Drosophila melanogaster: one gene and its partner. The protein of the gene in region 1 interacts with the protein of each later gene in a pairwise test. Each region holds a gene or a part of one and is shown on either strand. Other genes may lie near its edges. The genes, in order: U2af50 and U2af38.

The links.
Region 2: the proteins of U2af50 (region 1) and U2af38 interact in binary tests that used the Drosophila melanogaster proteins (3 or more experiments, as listed by UniProt).

What each region holds. Positions count from the first base shown.
Region 1 is NC_004354.4:16,350,921-16,361,042, reverse strand, and holds U2af50 (U2 small nuclear riboprotein auxiliary factor 50), read left to right. Parts: upstream 1-2,589; coding exon 2,590-2,635; intron 2,636-2,836; coding exon 2,837-3,400; intron 3,401-3,470; coding exon 3,471-3,559; intron 3,560-3,625; coding exon 3,626-3,748; intron 3,749-3,825; coding exon 3,826-4,287; 3' UTR 4,288-4,347; downstream 4,348-10,122. Other genes in the region: PIG-Q (phosphatidylinositol glycan anchor biosynthesis class Q), read right to left, coding at 1-111, 165-280, 347-423, 479-623, 685-820, 885-993, 1,057-1,703; sl (small wing), read right to left, coding at 6,257-7,327, 7,395-8,248, 8,314-8,794, 9,153-10,122. UniProt on the Drosophila melanogaster protein: Necessary for the splicing of pre-mRNA. Binds to the polypyrimidine tract of introns early during spliceosome assembly.
Region 2 is NT_033779.5:287,995-297,961, forward strand, and holds U2af38 (U2 small nuclear riboprotein auxiliary factor 38), read right to left. Parts: upstream 6,688-9,967; 5' UTR 6,491-6,687; coding exon 6,447-6,490; intron 6,379-6,446; coding exon 5,628-6,378; 3' UTR 5,009-5,627; downstream 1-5,008. Other genes in the region: amnionless, read right to left, coding at 1-925; CG11562 (uncharacterized protein), read left to right, coding at 4,575-4,666, 4,723-5,008; Stip1 (stress induced phosphoprotein 1), read left to right, coding at 7,278-7,286, 7,352-7,634, 7,710-8,817, 8,983-9,055. UniProt on the Drosophila melanogaster protein: Necessary for the splicing of pre-mRNA. Binds to the polypyrimidine tract of introns early during spliceosome assembly.

The DNA of each region.
Region 1 (10,122 bases):
TTCATGACATCCTCTTAATAACCGTTTTATACAGACTTCAATCGGGAGATACATCAGTTTTCTTCGCAAAAAATGAAAGACACTTAGAGTAGCAAATGTGAGCGCCTTCAGCTATAAAGAAAGTTGTATTATTGCGAAATTCAACGATTATATATTAAACTTACAGCAGCAAAAACTATATAGTAGACAAGGGTAGTGGGTAACAAAAACAGAATAGCCGAGAAAAATATGGTAGCTAGATATAATTGCCGATTCATATAGTTGTGGGACTCAGTGCGACCTGAAAAGTATAAGAATTGGTAAAACTTAACATAGTGCTTAGATTGGCAAAAACCTTAAAACATACCTTTTAAAATGTTGTAACGATTGCCTCGAACCACTTGCCATAGAACAGAAAGACCTCTTCTTTCCACATTGTAGAGGCTATGAAAATAATATTATTGTTTGAAAGCGGTCAATATATATTGCAGAAACTTACACTTTGGTATAAATATAGAAGCAATGTGAATGTAAGCCAATAACGGATATTAAGTCCACTAGTAAGGCTATCTGGAATGTAAAACCCAAGCATCCAATCATTCCAATGGCCAAGAAAACTTGTCGTACTAAAGGTTCAATGAAATCTGTAGTAAGAGAACAATGTTATCAATCTTATCATGCATTTAAGTAGACCCAAAAGCTTACCCAAAAATGTTGACCACAGCTCAATATGATATTTGAAGCAGTCGAGAAAGAAATTATTTAAATGTATATTTAGCTTGAGGCCAATGGGACTGCCCTCTAATACTTTCAACAGGCCGTACAATTCGTCAATAACGTACTACAATAGATAAGCAATAAGTTAATGTCACATATGTAAAATCAAATTTGTATGGCGGACATACATGAGATATTTGTATTAGAAAATCACCAGGCTGTGTGGCAAGCGTAAATAGTATTAGCATCAATATAATCCCCAGTATTCTATCAAGAACTATATTAGCCGGTCGAGATCTGCTTGATAGAAACTAAGTAATAGTAATATGATATTTAGCATCATCGATTTAACCCAACTACCTTTTATCACATGCTGTCTGCCATTCCTTGAAATGCTTATAAATAGTTGTGTGAACCATAATGCTGTTGATAAATACATTTTCCGCCATATATTCGAATATCTTAATTGGAGAATCGGCAATGAGTGTTAAGCCATATTGGATACTCTTGTTGGCATTATTGTTTGCCTTGTTTTGGTTGTCAGCAGTTGGTTGATTCAGTCTAGAGAGCTCCAGAAAGTCGCAATCGGTGCTATCATTATCATTGTATTCCAAAGATCGCCTATTTTCAGATTCACCAGATACGAACAGATTTCGTACCATTTGCTTGTCGTAGAGAATCACTTTAATGTGCTTCAGATATTCGGGCGTAATGCCCAAATAAACCAGTGTTATATTCGCCTGACTGCTATTGTATGTGAAACACAATCGCATATTGAACTTAAGAAATTGGTTCTGGTCCGCATTGAAATCCTCGTTGAGAATAGAGCCCAGGAAACGCAGATTGCCCTTTTCATGATTTATGGCCTTGTCACTGAACTCCAAATCTGATGCTTCCAGCACGTAATACGATACGACATTATCTTCATTTATTTGCACTTGGCCGTACAAATTGGTTGACTTATTGAGGTAATAATAGTTGACCGGTAAATATATCTTAATGCTCATAATATAATCGATTAACTGACAAAAACACCGGTATTTCTTCTCTCAATCAAAACAAAACAAATACAGCATGCTTGAGAAGGTGGTATACAATTGAGTGTGACGTCACCGTTTGTTGATTAACAAACTAGGGAGTACAGAATAGTTGCAGAATCGTATATGTCAGATGTCGCTTAAGCGTGTATTTTTATGTATGTATGTATATTATTATTATTATATTATTATGTATGATTATGTATAATAATTTATATAAATATTTTGCAGTAATGGACACCCTACAAGTGAAATTTATGTCGATAAATCGTTCAACGACACTTCGAAACTGCCAGTGTCGCACTGTTAGCCCTCGGCTATCGGTGGTCCATTCCATTGTTTCTCAGTTTTCACGTGTTCTTTTTTAAGTCGTTTCTTTTATATTTGCGTTAATATACGCAATAGAGGGACACATTTTTCTTCGGCATTTTAAAGAGTTAAAATTGTTTTCGTGTTAAGAAATATTAATTTTATTTAGCAACAAGAATGGGATATGATGGTGAGTTCAATGAAGAGAGCAAGTAAAGGGCCGCACTGAATTTGATGCCCAAGTGTGCATAAATAGATGTTTATGTATATATATGTATGCATACATACATACAACTATAAATGTATGCAAAGAAAGTGAAAAATGTGCAACTGAATTTGTTTATCGCGGCAACGCAGCCTGCTCCTTGTTTCATTTTTTTTTATATGTAAAAAAGGTCTGTTGAATTAGGGTTTTGTTAATAATCGCATTCATTCTAGACCGGTTGTTTTTTTTTCTATTTCGATGTTTCGCTCATTCATACATTCATACATACGTACATACGTTGAGTTTTGAGTCTATTTTTAATAGAATACAGTGCATTTCGGGATGGAAATGAATTTTGAAGATAAATATGTGAATATCGACAATAAAGGCGAGTTCTTATGACCATAAATGCTTCTAACCATACACCATACACCGAAATGTGTCCTTGTTCATGGCTTACATATGCGCGTGTGCCCGTGTGTATGGCTAAATTTGTGTGCTCTTCCTGGGTGAGGTGGACAGGGACGGGACACATTTGCGAAAATAGCGATTGGAGAATCAACATATTTAATTCCTATCGTATTTGCAGACCGTGAACGCGATCGCGAGAGACGCCGACATCGTTCCCGCTCTCGGGACCGCCATCGCGAACGCTCCAGGGATCGACGCCATCACCGGAACTCGAGGCGCAAGCCGTCGCTTTATTGGGATGTACCGCCGCCGGGATTCGAGCACATCACCCCGATGCAATACAAAGCCATGCAGGCGTCCGGACAAATCCCGGCAAGCGTTGTGCCGGATACACCACAAACGGCAGTGCCCGTGGTCGGATCGACAATTACCCGACAGGCGCGTCGCCTGTACGTTGGCAACATTCCGTTTGGCGTCACCGAGGAGGAAATGATGGAGTTCTTCAACCAACAGATGCATTTAGTTGGGCTCGCCCAGGCGGCCGGCAGTCCCGTCTTGGCATGCCAAATTAACTTGGACAAAAACTTTGCTTTCCTCGAATTCCGATCGATTGATGAAACCACCCAGGCCATGGCATTCGATGGCATCAATTTGAAGGGGCAGAGCTTAAAGATTAGGCGTCCGCACGATTACCAGCCCATGCCGGGTATAACAGATACGCCGGCAATTAAGCCCGCTGTTGGTAAGTAAACAAATATCCTAATTTTCATTGGCACACGGTCTAATCAAATAACCACCATTCCACATTCCAGTTTCCAGTGGAGTTATTTCGACAGTGGTTCCGGACTCGCCTCACAAAATCTTCATCGGAGGTCTACCAAACTATCTGAATGACGATCAGGTTGGTTCAACATTGAAACGTTTCCATTCGAATTCTCATAAACATTTGTATCTTCTGCTGCTGTAGGTTAAGGAACTGCTTTTGTCGTTTGGCAAGCTACGAGCCTTCAACCTGGTTAAGGATGCCGCTACTGGGTTGAGTAAGGGTTATGCTTTCTGTGAATATGTCGATCTTAGCATCACAGATCAGGTACGAAACTACTTCAAAATTGCAAACAAACACAATCTTAACTCTAACTCTCTTTCGATTCCTAATAAAATTTGTAGTCGATTGCTGGCCTAAATGGAATGCAGCTGGGTGACAAAAAACTGATTGTCCAACGAGCCAGTGTGGGCGCCAAGAATGCCCAGAACGCGGCCAACACCACGCAGTCCGTAATGCTCCAAGTGCCGGGCCTGTCCAATGTGGTGACCTCTGGACCGCCGACTGAGGTTCTTTGCTTGCTCAACATGGTCACGCCCGATGAACTGCGGGACGAGGAGGAGTACGAGGACATCTTGGAGGACATCAAGGAGGAGTGCACGAAATACGGAGTCGTGCGGAGCGTGGAAATTCCACGTCCCATCGAGGGCGTCGAAGTTCCCGGTTGCGGCAAGGTCTTTGTCGAATTCAACTCGGTTCTCGACTGTCAGAAGGCGCAGCAAGCACTTACTGGACGTAAATTCAGCGACCGCGTTGTGGTCACATCATATTTCGATCCCGACAAATACCACAGACGCGAGTTTTAGATACAAGTAAATCATATATCTCACATTCACCATTTGTCCAATAAATATCAGAATAAAAGTAAAATTTTGACTACGAAAATACGAAGATACCATGAAATAGAAAGGGATAGTCGCTTATTTCATTGTGAGCCGGAAGTTGGAAACGAAAACTCCAAATGCTTCTAATGGGTTGAAACTGTACGTGAGTTTAAGGGTATATAACATAACTACTTCATTCGGTGGCTTCCTCAATTCTCAGAAATCCAACATATAGAAACAACTTTGTATATATATAGACAGCTAACGCCGGATAAACATTTATTTGGCATTAAATAATTATGAATGTATACGTATGGTGTGTGTTTACTGAATTATAAGGCAATTACAAAAACAGTTGAAAATATCTATTAGACGTACAGATACAAATCACTTAAAAACGGAACGTACAAATGAAATACATTTTGGGTACATATACACATACATATATACTAAGCATGATTTGCTAATGCGCTCAAACGCGCAAAATGTCCAAATTAGAACTATTGTGCGAATGGAAACAGCAGAATGTTTGTTAAATAATTAAATGCGAGTGCAAGACAAATGATATCGATCGTTTCAGTGGGGCATTCGTATGGAATGCAAATAGTTTCAGATTAAAATCCTAAATGATTCGCATAGGGAGCACAATTTCCACTTCTTAAATCGACTAGTGCATTTTATGAATATCTAGATATATAAATTATATAATGCATTTAGTAATAATACGTCTATTGAACTTAGGCTTTAGATATTTAGATTTCGCAGTTTAGAGAAGAAGCTAAGTTAGAACTTTGATTTTATAAAAAATAGATATCTTTGAGCTATATTATTATTTTTCAAATATTTGTTATTTTAGCAACAGGTGTACTTCAATAGTTAACGTTCAAACATTTAAAATTTCGATCATTTCGAATTTTAAGGCACGTTCATTTAAATGTAATTGAATAATTACATTTTATTTTAATATTGTTTGCAAACTTTTAGTTTTTGTAACATTAGCTACAACAATCGTGGTTAAATAACATAGACACAATTATGTGGTATATCGTAATTGTTAAACAACTGGAAGACATATGTAATCAAAGTGGTTTAAATTTCCTTTGCCCTTTTTTTTTTATAAATTGTATTATTACTTTAAGCTTTAAAAGAGAAAATAAAAAAGGTAAATGCTAAATGATTGAAATGCTGTTTGAGTATTTGTGCTAAGAGAAAGGTCTAAAATAGTTTTCCAGATAACATATGAAAGTGGTCTATTTTCTTCAGTTAAAAGTCTTTAAGAAGATTGTAATATAATACTTATGAAAAGCTGATCCTGAAACTGAATATCAAATGCCCATTAAATTGATGCCAATTGAGCTGTTTATGAATTGTTTCTATTTCTAATTTTGGAATCAACTTAATGTACTTAACTTTTGATGGTAAAACTGGTAAAATGGAAATAGCTCAAGTTCCCTAAATCGAAATCAAATCAAATCTGGTTTGCTTATGCTTATAATGAGGTGACGAATAGTTAAAACATATTCGTATCATTCTATTCTCCTGAATCAATCTCACGCACAAATACAACATTTAGAGGACAACAGACTTGAATGCTTAGTGTTATGGAAAAGTGTACAAATTATACGGATTACATAAACTTGATTTCAGTTCCAGGAGTTCAGAATTCATTGTTACCATTTGAATACTCATTGTATAGTATGAACTAACCATAACTGCTGATGTGTATAGAAAGTAATCTAAATCTAAATCATACGTTTCAGATCCTAAGCTTTTTAGACAAATTACAAGTGAGAGAATCAGGTTCATAGTTCGATGAAATGTTCTTATGTACAAGTTGTTGATAAATTGCTTTTGCGAATTAAGTTCGCTTTCCTTTTGATCTAGCGCAATTGTTTTCGCAAACACTCGATTTGGAATCATTGATATTGATCCAGCTAACTCAGCAATCCTCTTACGGTGCGGTAACATTTGCTATCTTAATGTTGATCAGCAGGGACGATAATTCCAGCTCCTCGCTGAACTTATTTCGTAGGATGACGCTGCGATAGCCCTGGCGAATGCAGGTCAGCGGATAGCACGCCTGGGCGATGAAGTGCGTCTCGGCGAACATATCCTCGTCCTGCACTTCGAAGCGAAGGATCGCAAACTGTGGATTACGCACGTTAAACTCGCACGATTCATTCCACACCGGATTGAAACCATTTTCATTGACTTTGGTGCGATACTTAACGCCCGTATCAAAGCTAGCGCCAATCAATTCGACCACGATCTGCGGATTGTTCGATTTGCCGCCCCGGAATAGATGACGTGCGGCTATCAGACGTATGCTAACTTTAACTTCGCTTAGGCCATCGCACAGCGGATTGTTCGGATTGAAGCTGTCAGATTTCATGAACGATGGCTTTAAGATATAGCCACATTGTCCATTATTCCGAAACTTGGCCTGATTCAGCTGCATGGCCTTATCGCCTGTCTGATAGTTCAGTGCGATCATCTGGGATCCAACATTCCAGAATGGCATGGGATTAAAATTCGACGAGTCCAGGCGCTGACCCTTCGGATACACTCGGCTAATCTGATTGCGATGGTAGGAGAGAAACAGTTGTGTGTTCTGCTGGAAGAACTGCTTTTCGGCCTTCGTTTCGGGGAAACTCGACATTTCCTGAAATATCCACGAGTGCTCGCGGAACGGCACGCTGCGGAAGTAGATAATCAGATCGGACATCTCCTTGGCCACCCGGGCAGTGCGCTCCTTTTTCCGCCTCTCCGATGCCAGCTGACTGGCGATAAGGGCTGCCTCCTGGATTGCCTTTATCCACTCGTACGCCGTCTCCTGATTGTCGAAGCCAATCACAAACGGATTCTGCATCGTTGGCGTTTGTATCTGCAGCTTGAAAATAATCCCCGGATCGTTGGACTCAAAGAGCGAGGCAACAGCTCCGAAAATCTCAATGGAATCGGTGCGTCCATCCGTGCCCTCTTCGTTCAGCGAATTGTAGTCCTCGGTAGTTGAATCGATAACCTAGACATTGGAATTTTCAAGAGTTGAATATAGTTGAATTTCAAATAAATCTATATATGCATCTCACCTTAACGTAGTTTGCCGGCAGATGCTTCTTGATCATGCCACCATAATCTCCAATCCACCACATCGAGTTGTCCCTCTGGACATTCGTTATGATGGCATGCTTGGGAAAAGAGAGTTCGTCTGGCTTGTTCGCCTTATAGCTGTAGAGCGCCTTGCACGTGACATTCTCCTCCAGATTGGAGCCCATGTAGTTGGAGGCACCGTTGTCATCGTGACCGCCACTATGATCACCCTGTGCCGCCTCCGCTAGCGCCTGACGCAGCAGCTCCTGCGACACCGGATGGCTGAGCTTAACATTGCGATAGAGTGGATTTCGGGTATAATAGTTGATCAGCGAGACCAGAGACTCGAAGTTCATTGTATCGATGCCGTACAAGCGTCCCTCCTGCATAATGCGACAGTGCTTGATCTTTCGATTGATTGTGAACGAAATGACAAAAGCGTTAATGCTCTGCACCGATGGCCGCACTAGAAACGAACCAATTTCCAGCCGGTATAGACCCTGTTCGGCCTGCTCCTTGGTGGTGTTCGGATGGAACCACTCCTGATCCTCGTGCTTTTTCGGCTGCGGAACTGGCTCTTTCAGTATAATCGAAAACTCTGAGCTACGCAGCATATTCTTGCGATAATAAACGATCAGTGAGTACAGTGAATCGAATACAAAATTCTCCACTAGATAGTACTTGATCGATCCATTTTCATGCTTTAACTTGATGCGGCAATGATTCGGGCGATTACGTCGCCAGAACGAAAGGCTATAGTCTCCCACAAACGTGGCCGATTCCCGAACCAAAAATGTACCATCGCCAAAGTGTTTGTACTTCTTTAGTAGATCATCAGCCTCCTTTCTGCCACCTAAAATGCAAATTGTTAACGAAACAAATGGAATATACTGCATATATGTCAACCAATAAACGCACCTTCAAGTTTCCCATGGAACCAATTCTCGCCGAAGTGCAGCTCATCGTTGGCCGAGGTATCCTTTTGCTTTTGCTGCATATTGCTGTTTAGGGAGCACGACGAAGAAAGCCCAAAGTCATCATCCTCGGAGTTTCCGTTGCGTGACTCGTTGATCTCAGAGGAGTAGATTAGCTCCTGATGGGTCAGAACGAACTGATAAAGATTCCAGGACTTATCGACCGGATCCTTGAAGTAGAGCAGTCCCTCCTTGAACACCTTGCGCACATTCTCGCCATCGTTCTCCCCATGCGCTCCACCGCCCGCTCCGCCCAACGATGATCTATGGCCCAGTGAACCCGTGCTAGAAATCCCATTCGCGATGTCGTCAAACTGCGGCAACTTCTTGTGCTTCAGGATTATCTTGCGACGCAACTGGTATGGCGATGGCAAGTGCTGCTCGTTTCGATCACAAGGTTGCGTAAGCAGCATATCCCCGAAAACCTGTAATGGGTCATAAAAGGTATAAGTCAATGGATTTTTATGCGATTAATACTTAAAGCATCAAGAAATATCTAATTACCATCGTCTTGAAATCTAAGTAACTAAAAATATTGCTCTGTTACATTTATAATTAGATTCAAACGAATAAAAAGCGAATTCTTCATATTGTCATACATATTCCCAACTATCGAAATATACAAAATCCATTTCAATTATATATTAAGTTAGGCAATCTCACAGAAAGCCATAAAAGAACTCATTATTACAGCGAATGAATCAAAAAGCAAACATGCAGATCTCCTGTTTGCATGGAATATATAAATTGTTGTTATTAATAGATTCGATTAGGTCAACTTACCTCGATCAAGGCCTGCGCCATATTCCGCTGCTGTTCCAGGGAGCAATTCTGCTCTATGGACAATATTACCGGATACTCGGAACTGGTGAACGCATGATCCTTAATCGTCTTGATGACATCCATGAACTTGATCTTGGAGGTAATGGTGTGGCCGTGAAATATGTAGGGCAGATTGTCGGGCCCGTTCCAACAATCCAACTCGATGCAACGGCAGCCCATGCGAAGAGCGCGGGCGTAGGCCTCGCAGGAGGATTCACTGGAGAACTGATCGCCCGTCAGGTAGGTATTGTGCGACGATGCGATCCAGTAGGAGGACAACGGCAGGTTCATGTCCATGAACACTTGGTCGTACTTGCTGTTCCACAGGTCGTTTTGCTTGGAGAACAGAAAGTCGACGAACTCCGGGAAGGTGAGATACGGCTCCTGAACATCACGTTCCACGTCCTGAACAAAGTCCCGAATGAAGGAGGCAATGGCTGCGCTACTGATCTCACTGGCGCTCACATCGCGCTGTTCCGTCTCGAGGAACTGCTTCAGCTCCGCCGGTCGCACCACCTGTTGGTCCTCCGAATAGGGAAAGTTGGCCACTCCCGATCCGGACAAGACGCTGGCAAATCCGTTGGGCAGCAGCAACTTCTGATATAGCCGCGAGAAATCATCAAACTTGAGATCGTGCTTGCGCCGCACATCCTCGGTAAAGTGCTCCATGAACTTGCCGGTGGTCATCTTACAGCTAACTCCGGCCAAAAAGAGCTTAAAGTCCTTAATGGTCACCTGGGCTGGCGACTGTTCCGTGGCCTTGGCGGAATGCGTGTTAACATTCTCGATTTGATAGTACTCGCGACGCAGCCAGCGATCAATTTGCAAGGGATAGGGTGCTCCCAGTGTGTCCTTAACCATGTAACGCAATCCCCGCACCCAATTGTCGGCCTCGATCTCCGACAGAGCCACCACCGAGAAGCTCTTCAGC
Region 2 (9,967 bases), on another chromosome or scaffold:
TATATTTATGGCGATCAGTTACCACCGCCTGCAGGCAGTTTCCAAACTTCTGGGAGCCCACAAACTCCACGTGTAGGCCGATCTGATCCTTCAGGCTCTCCTGGCTGATGAGGTTACTTATCTGGGCCACCAACTCCTTTCTACTGCCCTCGGTGCAGTGGGTCGTGGGCGTGGATAGAATGGCCCCGCAGATTAGGCAGCACGATCCCAAGGGTCGAACTGGAGACAAGCAGTGGGGCGTCTCGCACTGCTCCTGGACATTATGGCAAACGGGTTCCAGCAGTCGCTCGAAGTCCTTGTGGCAGCCACACAGCTCTCCTCTGTAGTACTCCACCTGGACGTACTCGGCATTGTAAAAGAGAAACTGGCCCAGATCTCTGCTGATAAGTTGCTCCAAGTACGTTTTGGAAATGGAAGAACCAGCCAGAATAAGCTGTCCCAGCCTCAGATACTGCACGTTTTCTAGGTCAAAGGCCAATGGTCCGTGCCCCTTGATTATGACCTGCTCGTCATCACAGGGAATCCTCTCCAGCTCTGGTGTGAATGTGGAAAATTCCTTAGATTTGTCCGTCCAGGTGCCAGGATCGAACCATTTACTCGACTTCGGTGGCTTCAAATAGGCCTTATTCTCATCGCTCTCACAGGAGGGCTGCTTATCAGATCCAAAGGTAATGGTGGATTCCTCTGCCAAAAGGATCGCCCCTTCTCTGGGGAAAACCAAGCCATCAATGGATATGTCCTCGGGCAAGGGCAGCAGAGCTGGGTAGTACTCTGGAAAAACGACCAAATCCTGTGCACAAGGCAAGTGGTCATCTAGCCAGGCGGTGGGATCATTGAAGTCCATTCCACCGCCATACCACTTGGTGGCCAGTGCCACATGGAGCCCCACCAATGCCCAGATCAGCCATTGCCAATGCAAACCCATCGTGGAAACTCAGTGAACTCTAAACTAAATCTGAAACGTTCGGAGAATTCCATTCGATGATGTTGCCTCTTATTTGGGGGCGGATAACAATCAGAATTGGAACCAACGAGAGCAAATAAACACAGGGGTGATGGACAGCAGATGTAAGGGAAATCAGGCTGATGGGGACAACTCATACCCTATCATTTTTGGGAACATGTTCTTATGTTACTTATAGTTACTTTTCAATGTTTATAAAAATATAAATGGAGTTTGTATATGTATATTGTGTTTGTAAATGACATTTGGAAAAGCATGGAATTCATGCTTTATATTCTCCACAAAGATTTTGCTTATATATATATATTTTTTTTTTATTCTAAACACAGCTAATCCTATTAGTGGATCGAAACCTAAATCTTTTCTTTAAATATATTTTACTAATAAATTGTTTCGAATCGAAGAGAATTTGGCAAAAAGCGTACACAGATAATTTCACGTTTGCTTCAACAATGCAATTGTTTGTCAGAACATAGTTAGTTTATTTGTATTTTGATTGCGCCGATATAAACAATTTCAGCACACCAGATTTTTAAGATGCCCAGAAGACCAGAAGAAAGGTAAAAATTCGACAACGAAAATAATGAACCGGATGGTAGTGGCACCGAAAAGTTCTCGTGATCGTTTCAAGGGACTACATAAAAGAAAAAGATCTGTAGATATAAAGCACTTTATGCTGACCAGATCAAAGTACTTTTTGCGGGACAGACGGCGTTAATCAAGGGCGAGCAAGGTCATGCAATAACAAACTAAGATGTTCCTGGAAAGACGCACGGAAATGGAAAGCCGTGGTGTGGAAATATGTACATATGTAAAAGCATCGTATCAAAAAAGAGCACAATTCCTTCTCTTGAATAAATGCAATTAATGCAAAAATATCTTCATTTCTGGGTCATATCTTAAAGAGATTGAGCAGAAATATTGTCAAGTTGAGAAAAATGTATGGAGATAACATCAGAAGTGGACTCGTTATATATATGTATGTATTTTATAGCCCATTTTAAAACCAGATTTGTGGCAGCATACATTTTTCTTCAATTACAAGTACAATTTCTCTTAAGTGACGTTAATTTCCTTATTTAATACATTTTTTCTTTTTTTTTCTGTGGGCCGAAATTCAAGACATATTTATTTACCCATTCGAAATGAAATTCGTTCACCAATTCAACAATGAAACATTCGCTTGTGCCAGTTGCCAAGGAGCTGCGAGAAAAATGCAATAATCCATCGATTTTCTAACAATTTAACGATATGTAAATGAGGCGTCAGAAGCACCGAATAGCAGAATACCAAATCGAAGCCAACTGCCACGTATGGCACATTTACATTGGCGCCCATCAGATAATCTCGCATTCGTCAAGAAGTGGAATCAAAAATCTGGAAAACCGCGAACATCTGAGCAAATAAACACTTGGGGCGAGAAAATGCCGAAAAACGCTTTCCCACACGGAATGTGCATTGCCATCAGGGAAAAGTGCAGCGCGAATGAGGAAATTCGGCGAGCACAGCTCCCGTATCTGGCGGATACTCCTCCGTATTCCACAGTTGTTGACCCCGCCTGGCCGATAAAAAGAGCGTGCAAGTAAGAGAAAATCGAAGGGGAAAGGGGGCGATCCCCAGCGAACAGACAAACAAATAAACAAACATATGGCACACATAAACCCGAACATCGGCATACGGGCCTAGAATATAAATAATTTTTCCTTCGCTGATTTTTCTGGTCTCGAGCTCAACACTTGAAACAACCGATGCTGGCCGCATTTCCGTCTTGTTTTTTAATTTCCCATAATTTCTCACATATGTATCTCTGTATCTTTGTGGCGCTTTCGATGGGCACGCCGTAAATTAACTTACCAGCGACCAGTAGGACAGCAATTTGATTTTCTGGGGCAGCGATTCGGGAACCAGGCGGCGATTGAGGCTCGTCTTCAGTTTGTAGCTCCTTTGGATCTCGAAGGAGCTGTAGTAGAGTCCATAGGCGAATTGGCCGAGTGCACACAGGTGTATGATTGTCACAAAGACGCGCGACTTGTATAGCTCAACTTTGGTCATCTTGTGGATTTTTCAAAGATCCTACACAGGAAAAGCCAAAGGAGACTTCACGTTACACGGGCAGAAAAATTTTGCAATATGTTCCTCAAGTTCTAATTCGCTACATTTCAGTGTTCCATATACAGTGCATAATTTAATTATATATCTAAATCAACAATTGTGAAATTTTCATGTAGTACAAAGTGCTAAGTATAAAACTTTTTTTTAGGCAAAGAAAGAAAGAAACCATTTAGAACTACTATCCCTTGATAAACTGAAAATAAATTTTTCTTCAATTTTAAAAGAAAAATTGGTGTATTGTTTTTGTCTGTGCTTTGCGGTGGGGCGAAAGAAGTGAATTAAAATCGTCGTCAAGGTGTTTTAGCTCTTGAGTCAAAACACCTCGCTTTCGTCAACTCAAAGCGCGCACAAATTTAAATCAATATTTGCGTCACCGACATAAATATTAATGGAACCTAAAGTTGGCCAGGAATATCTTGAAAAAATCTTGAAAATCTTGACCGCCCTGGAAGAAGATCCCCGTGGCTCTTGTTTATAAATCGGTTATGTTAATAACTTAATGGTTTTTATGGCCCTTAAAAACAATTGTTGATTGCCTTTCGTTTGATTTCCACACTCTGAACAAATCACCAGGTCCCCGGCACACGCACGCTAAGTATTTTCTTGATTTCTTTTTGGCTTCGCTCGGAGGAAGTGCTCGGCTGCGATTTTCCCTTGACCGCGGGCACAACTGAGCGTATGGAAAACTGGAGTCGCACTGTTGCCCATACGCCGTGTTGCCTCCTGCCTTTTGTACTCGTTTCCATTGTACTTGGCTGTTGCTTCTGTCTCTGCCTCGGTTTTGTGGTGTCGTTCCTCCAGTCGCTCGCATCAGGTGCGTGCTGCGCATGTCCGGACCACCGACCACGGAAGACGGACTCCGGGCTTCGCATTCCGGATTCGGGAGTGTGGGCTCCATTATGGGTTAATGATGGCCAATCACCTGAATGAATCGCCCCCACCCATTAAGATGTATGTTGCTTAGTGAGTAACCAGATGAGTCGAAACAATGCAGGCATAACTAAAAAGATATCTTTGCGGAGAGATAAGCATCTGCTTTTATTTTTAGGCACTGCGTCATAGCTGTAGATAAAAGTATAAAAAACCTAAATAAAAAGTCATTGATAAAGGCTAGAAGTTCTGTAGTACATATGTATGTAGATACTAGATACGGAAATCGCTATTATATACATCACTTCGAAATTGTATTTTCGTCTAAAGCTTCAAGTTTTCAATAGTCTGAGATTTTCTAACTGCAATTGGCTTTAGGACCCCCAAAAGTGTTGCGCTGATTTGAAGGGAATTAATTTGATTTTCCCGCGCACTAACTCTGGATAGGGAAAACTTTGCTTCCGTAAACTGGCCACTCTCTTGTCAGCTGTGTGGTGCTGTTGTTTTTCTTTCAAATTTAAAGTCATGTCGTAACCCGAACCGACTTCAAAACAACACAACCCGACAGCCAAATTCCTAGTGCAGGCATTTTAGGCGGAAATCTCCAGCGGCAGACCGGTGCCCAGTCATGTCGACCGCTTCGCGAGTGACTTTGGGACTGGCGGTCTCCATTTCCACAGCGATCATAGGTTATGTGCACTATAAACAATCGGCAGACCGGTAAGTAAGCCAAATACTCCGGAATAAAGTTATAGCCTCCGATCTCTAACTTCCAGCCTGAGACTGCACGATGGTGTCCTGAGGGACGTTGAGCAGCAACAACGGCGCAAACACGAGAATACCTACACGCTGCAGCAGCAAATAGACATGACCAAGCAACTGAAAGCCAGGGAGGCGTCTAGCAACTCCTCTGACACGCCCGTACCTCCATCGACGCATCGCGCACAGAGTAATCTTCAAGCGGAGAAGCCAGCAGTGCAAAATGAAGGCGAGGCTTTCAGAGGTGTTCCTCAGGGTGGAACGACTAATCACGATGGAAGCCCGCCAACTGACATAGCTTGATCACAAATATGCCCCTAAATATGCACCTATTAAAATCTAAGACTAAGTCGGGGAAAACAAGAATTTCGTTGTTCAAATGTACGCATTTTTGAAGATTTTAAGATTTCGTCTTAAGACAGTTGACAGCATCATTTACGCTGTTGATCGTTTTCAGTTGGTGAAGCCATCTGCGCATGGAAATATAATTAAAACAACGTGGTAAGATTCAATCTTACAAAGCGAAATAAGACTGCAGGCCTAACAAGGGGTGGTGTCTTCTGGATGTTATCCATACCTGTGAGGAGTCTTTTATTTTGAGTGCCTGGACTTTTTGACAATTAGACCCATTTCTTACTATGGCTTCCAGTATAATATTACTCAATTTTATTATTATGAATGTATGTATAGTAAATTACAATTCTAATGGGCGCTCGGTAAAATATTTCGCGGGGGGTTTGTACATAGGTGGTGGAACTCCCCATCGTCATTTTCCTCCTCCTCCTTCCATCTCGTTTACTCAAAAGTGATATAAAAACGTGGAAAACCAACGCAGAGACTAAAATACACGATGCTTTGCGTTACTGCTTGTCCGTTGCTTTCTCTCTCAATTGCCACCGTACAGAAAAAATGTCCAGAATATTTAATACCGTCCACCACCACCACCGCCTCCTCCGCCACCACCTTTGCGGCGATCGCGATCGTTTCCGCGATCATTGCCACGCATGTTGTCCCGCTCGTTGTTCAAGTAGTTTCCTCCGCCGACACCGTCGCCTCTGCCGCCTCCTCTTCGACCCGGGGATCGGGACCTGCTGCGGGAGCCGCGACGGCGTCCAGGGGATCGGGAACGGGAGCGGGCACGACGGCGGCGGGAGTAGAGGTACCTTCGCAGCTCACGCGAGATGGGCTTCAAGTGCATGAAGTTGCAGAAGCCGGAGCGGGTACATTCGCCCATCTCGTACTGCCGACAGCAAGCCTCGCGGAAGTCGGTCACCGGCGATAGTTCCGAGTACACCGGTCGACCACCGAACCACCGGTTGTTCAAATCGTTTGCCGCCTTTTCCGCATCAGCCTCGTTACGGAATTTGATGTACACATTGCCGACCAGATGGTCGCCTAGGTTGTCGCACACGTTCATCTCCTCGATTTCCCCGTACTTGTCCTCGCACTCTACGAACACGTCCTCGAAAAAATTGTCGTAGTGTTCTTGCATCTCCTCGTCGGAGACGTTGGCCACCAGATGGGAGCCATCCGCGGATTTGGCGGAGTTTTGGGGGTTCACGTATAGATTTTGGAGAAGCACCGTCTGCGAGAAAGTGGGTTTGTTGTGGATGCGAGAGCACCGGTCGCCGTGGCGGCAGGCGCCGATCTTGAAGTAGAACGAACAGTTCACCCTGGGAAATGCAACGCCATTTAGTTATTAATCCCGGCAACGTTAAAATAAATGTGCCATGCGACTTACTTGTCCTTTTCCGTGCCAAAAATGGATGCCAAGTACTCGGCCATGCTGGCGGCTTTACTGTGGTGTTGCTGTGGCCAAAATGTGTAACTTATCTACCCGCTTGTCTCTGCAACGCGGTCAAACTGCAATTATGTTAGCCGCCTGTTTATTTAGTGATAATTTTCAATTATTTTCGGAAACCGAAAAAAGCAGCGTCTGGTCGTATTTTGCACGGCGTTGCCAGCCTCGAATCTAGAGTTGCAAATAAAATCGATGATTAGTTATCGATATTTAGTGTTTTTGGCAGCATCGTTTTTCGATACCTCTGTTCTTAATTTAAATGTTTTAAAATATGCTAACATTTTAAATATTAATTTCAAATATTTAAATATTAATGCACTTAAAAGCCTGAGGACTTATTTTTCATTTGACTAGAAAAATTTTACAATTCAAAATAAGAAATTGAGAAAATTATTTACGCAAATAATAATATAATATAAACATAAATAAACAATACAATAAAATAACATTTAAATTCTATAAAGCTCAAGGTATTATTTATATTTGATCAACAATTTTTTTAATTTATATAAGCAATGGAAAAAATTATTTAAGAAGGCTTGCTGGTTTTGTTCCCCGCTTGAGAACGAGCTAAGTTCTAAACCGCAGTCTGGAAAAAGATTAAATTCAGTCGCAGAAGCATTGACAACCCTATCGATTGCTTCTAGAAAAGTCGGCATTTTTCGCATTTTCACCTGGCACGGCACATTTCGCAGCGTGTTTTATTAAAAAGTCGTACAAAAATACAGGAAAAACTGTAATTCGACAGCGCTATCCTCTCCCTTATCAGAAATGGACAAGGTAAGTGCCCGAGACAAAGGAAAGGCGTTGGCATTTCCAATCAAAAACCCTTGCGGTTTTCGCAGGTGAACGAACTCAAGGAAAAGGGTAACCAGGCGCTCAGTGCCGAGAAGTTCGACGAGGCGGTGGCGGCGTACACAGAGGCCATCGCTCTGGACGACCAGAACCATGTGCTCTACAGCAACCGTTCGGCGGCATTCGCCAAGGCTGGAAAGTTCCAGGAGGCGCTAGAAGATGCGGAGAAGACCATTCAGCTTAATCCCACCTGGCCTAAGGGTTACTCACGCAAAGGAGCTGCCGCTGCGGGTCTGAATGACTTTATGAAGGCCTTCGAAGCGTACAACGAGGGTAAGTTCAAACACAGCTCAGTTATATGCCATGAATCACCCGACCTAACCTCACTAACCTCGGTTACCGGCGCAGGTCTCAAGTACGATCCCACGAATGCTATACTCCTGCAAGGCCGCATGGAAACTACTGCCTCGGCTCTGAGCTTTATGCAATCGCAGGGGGATATACCCATGGACGTTGATCCCCAGCAGGCACGCAGCCGCAGGGCTCCATCGCCACCGCCGGCGAAACCGGCTGAGCCCCCAAAGCCCGCTGAACCTCGGGTAGAGGACATGACTGAGGAGCAGAAGAATAAGTACTTCGCGAGGAAGGAGAAGGAACTGGGCAACGCCGCCTACAAGAAAAAGGACTTTGAAACGGCCCTAAAACACTACCACGCTGCCATTGAACACGATCCCACGGATATCACGTTCTATAACAACATAGCTGCTGTTCACTTTGAGCGCAAGGAGTACGAGGAGTGCATCAAGCAGTGCGAGAAGGGCATTGAGGTGGGGCGCGAAAGCCGCGCCGACTTTAAGCTGATAGCTAAGTCCTTTGCTCGCATCGGTAACACCTATCGTAAGCTAGAGAACTACAAGCAGGCGAAGGTTTACTATGAGAAGGCCATGTCCGAGCATCGCACCCCTGAGATCAAGACCTCGCTGAGCGAGGTGGAAGCCAAAATCAAGGAGGAGGAGCGAATGGCCTACATCAATCCGGAGAAGGCCGAGGAAGAGAAGGAGCAGGGCAACCTTTTCTTTAAGAAGGGGGACTACAGCACCGCTGTAAAGCACTACACCGAGGCCATCAAGCGCAATCCGGATGATCCCAAACTCTATAGTAACCGCGCCGCCTGCTACACCAAGCTGGCCGCCTTTGATCTGGGCCTCAAGGACTGCGACACTTGCATCAAGCTAGACGAAAAGTTCATAAAGGGCTACATCCGCAAGGGCAAAATTCTACAGGGCATGCAGCAACAATCTAAGGCGCAAGCCGCTTACCAAAAGGCCCTGGAACTGGACCCCAACAACGCGGAGGCCATTGAAGGCTACCGTCAGTGTTCGATGAACTTCCAGCGCAATCCGCAGGAGGTCCTCAAAAACGCAATGTCCGACCCGGAGATTCAACAGATCTTAAAGGATCCGGCTATGCGTATGATCCTCGAGCAGATGCAAAGCGATCCCAATGCGGTCAAAGAGTAAGTACCCGTTTGGCTTTATTCGTTCGCTTTTTTGGGTTTCATTGGTAAAATCTAGAAATTAATAGCCCATTTGAAGTTAACAAGCAGACTTACGTTTCTTTGGTCTTATATATTATTAACAACCTGTATACTATATTTTAATTAACAACCTCTATATTTCAGACACTTGCAGAATCCTGCCATCGCCGATAAGATAATGAAACTGCTGGAGTCGGGCATCATTCAGATTCACTAGGCACTCCAGATCCACAAACGAACATCCTCATACAATCACTAACTCACACACAAACCCCATTGATAAACATTCAGGAGAGAACCATTACGCATTATTATGGCGTCTCTAAGCTGGTTAACCAATATATCGTTTTTGATGAAACGGGCCACAATTAATGCTAAACGTAATTACCTAAGAAATCACATCGCCTATTCGCAGAACGACGATAACTACCATTAACAGAAATTTAAACTAAAAGGAGAAAACAAAATCATTGATAAATGTCTGCCTAATTGATTTACGCAGACGGGTGGAGTAGGCTCCAAACGTCATGGTCCTTATTTTCTTACTACAATAAATATGCTGTAGCTTAGCTCTAAAATAAGTTTCTGTTTGTACAATAAACGAGTCACGGAAGGGTAAGCTATGATTTTGAATTTGGCGCCCAAGGGCTACAAGATGGGTAACTTACGGCTTAGCAGTCGTTCTCTAACGTTTTTCCAGGGCTGCCAAATTATTTAGAATATATTTTATATTTATACAAAGAATGATTTGCGCCAATCGCCTTTTAAATAAGAAATTTAAATGTTATTATAATGCAAAATCGCATATTTTCGGAAAAAAGCATAGACTGCAAATCTTTATTTTGAAAAAATATAATTTCGAATGAATTAAGTTGTGAAATTAAAATGATTAAAAGCAACAACCTGGCCAACCTTTTTGTAATTATAATGTGTGAAATATTTTGTATTCTTGGGCAGCCCTGTTTCCCGCGCTTACGTTATTATATCCAACCGATACGTAGTTTCGTCTTGCTCAACACTGCAAGCCGCCAGTGCTACAAAGGCCCTGCAGCTCACTCGCAGCAAGTGGCATGGCAACAACAGCGCTGTTCAACACCGCACGATTTCTACCCGAAAATAATGGTGTGCT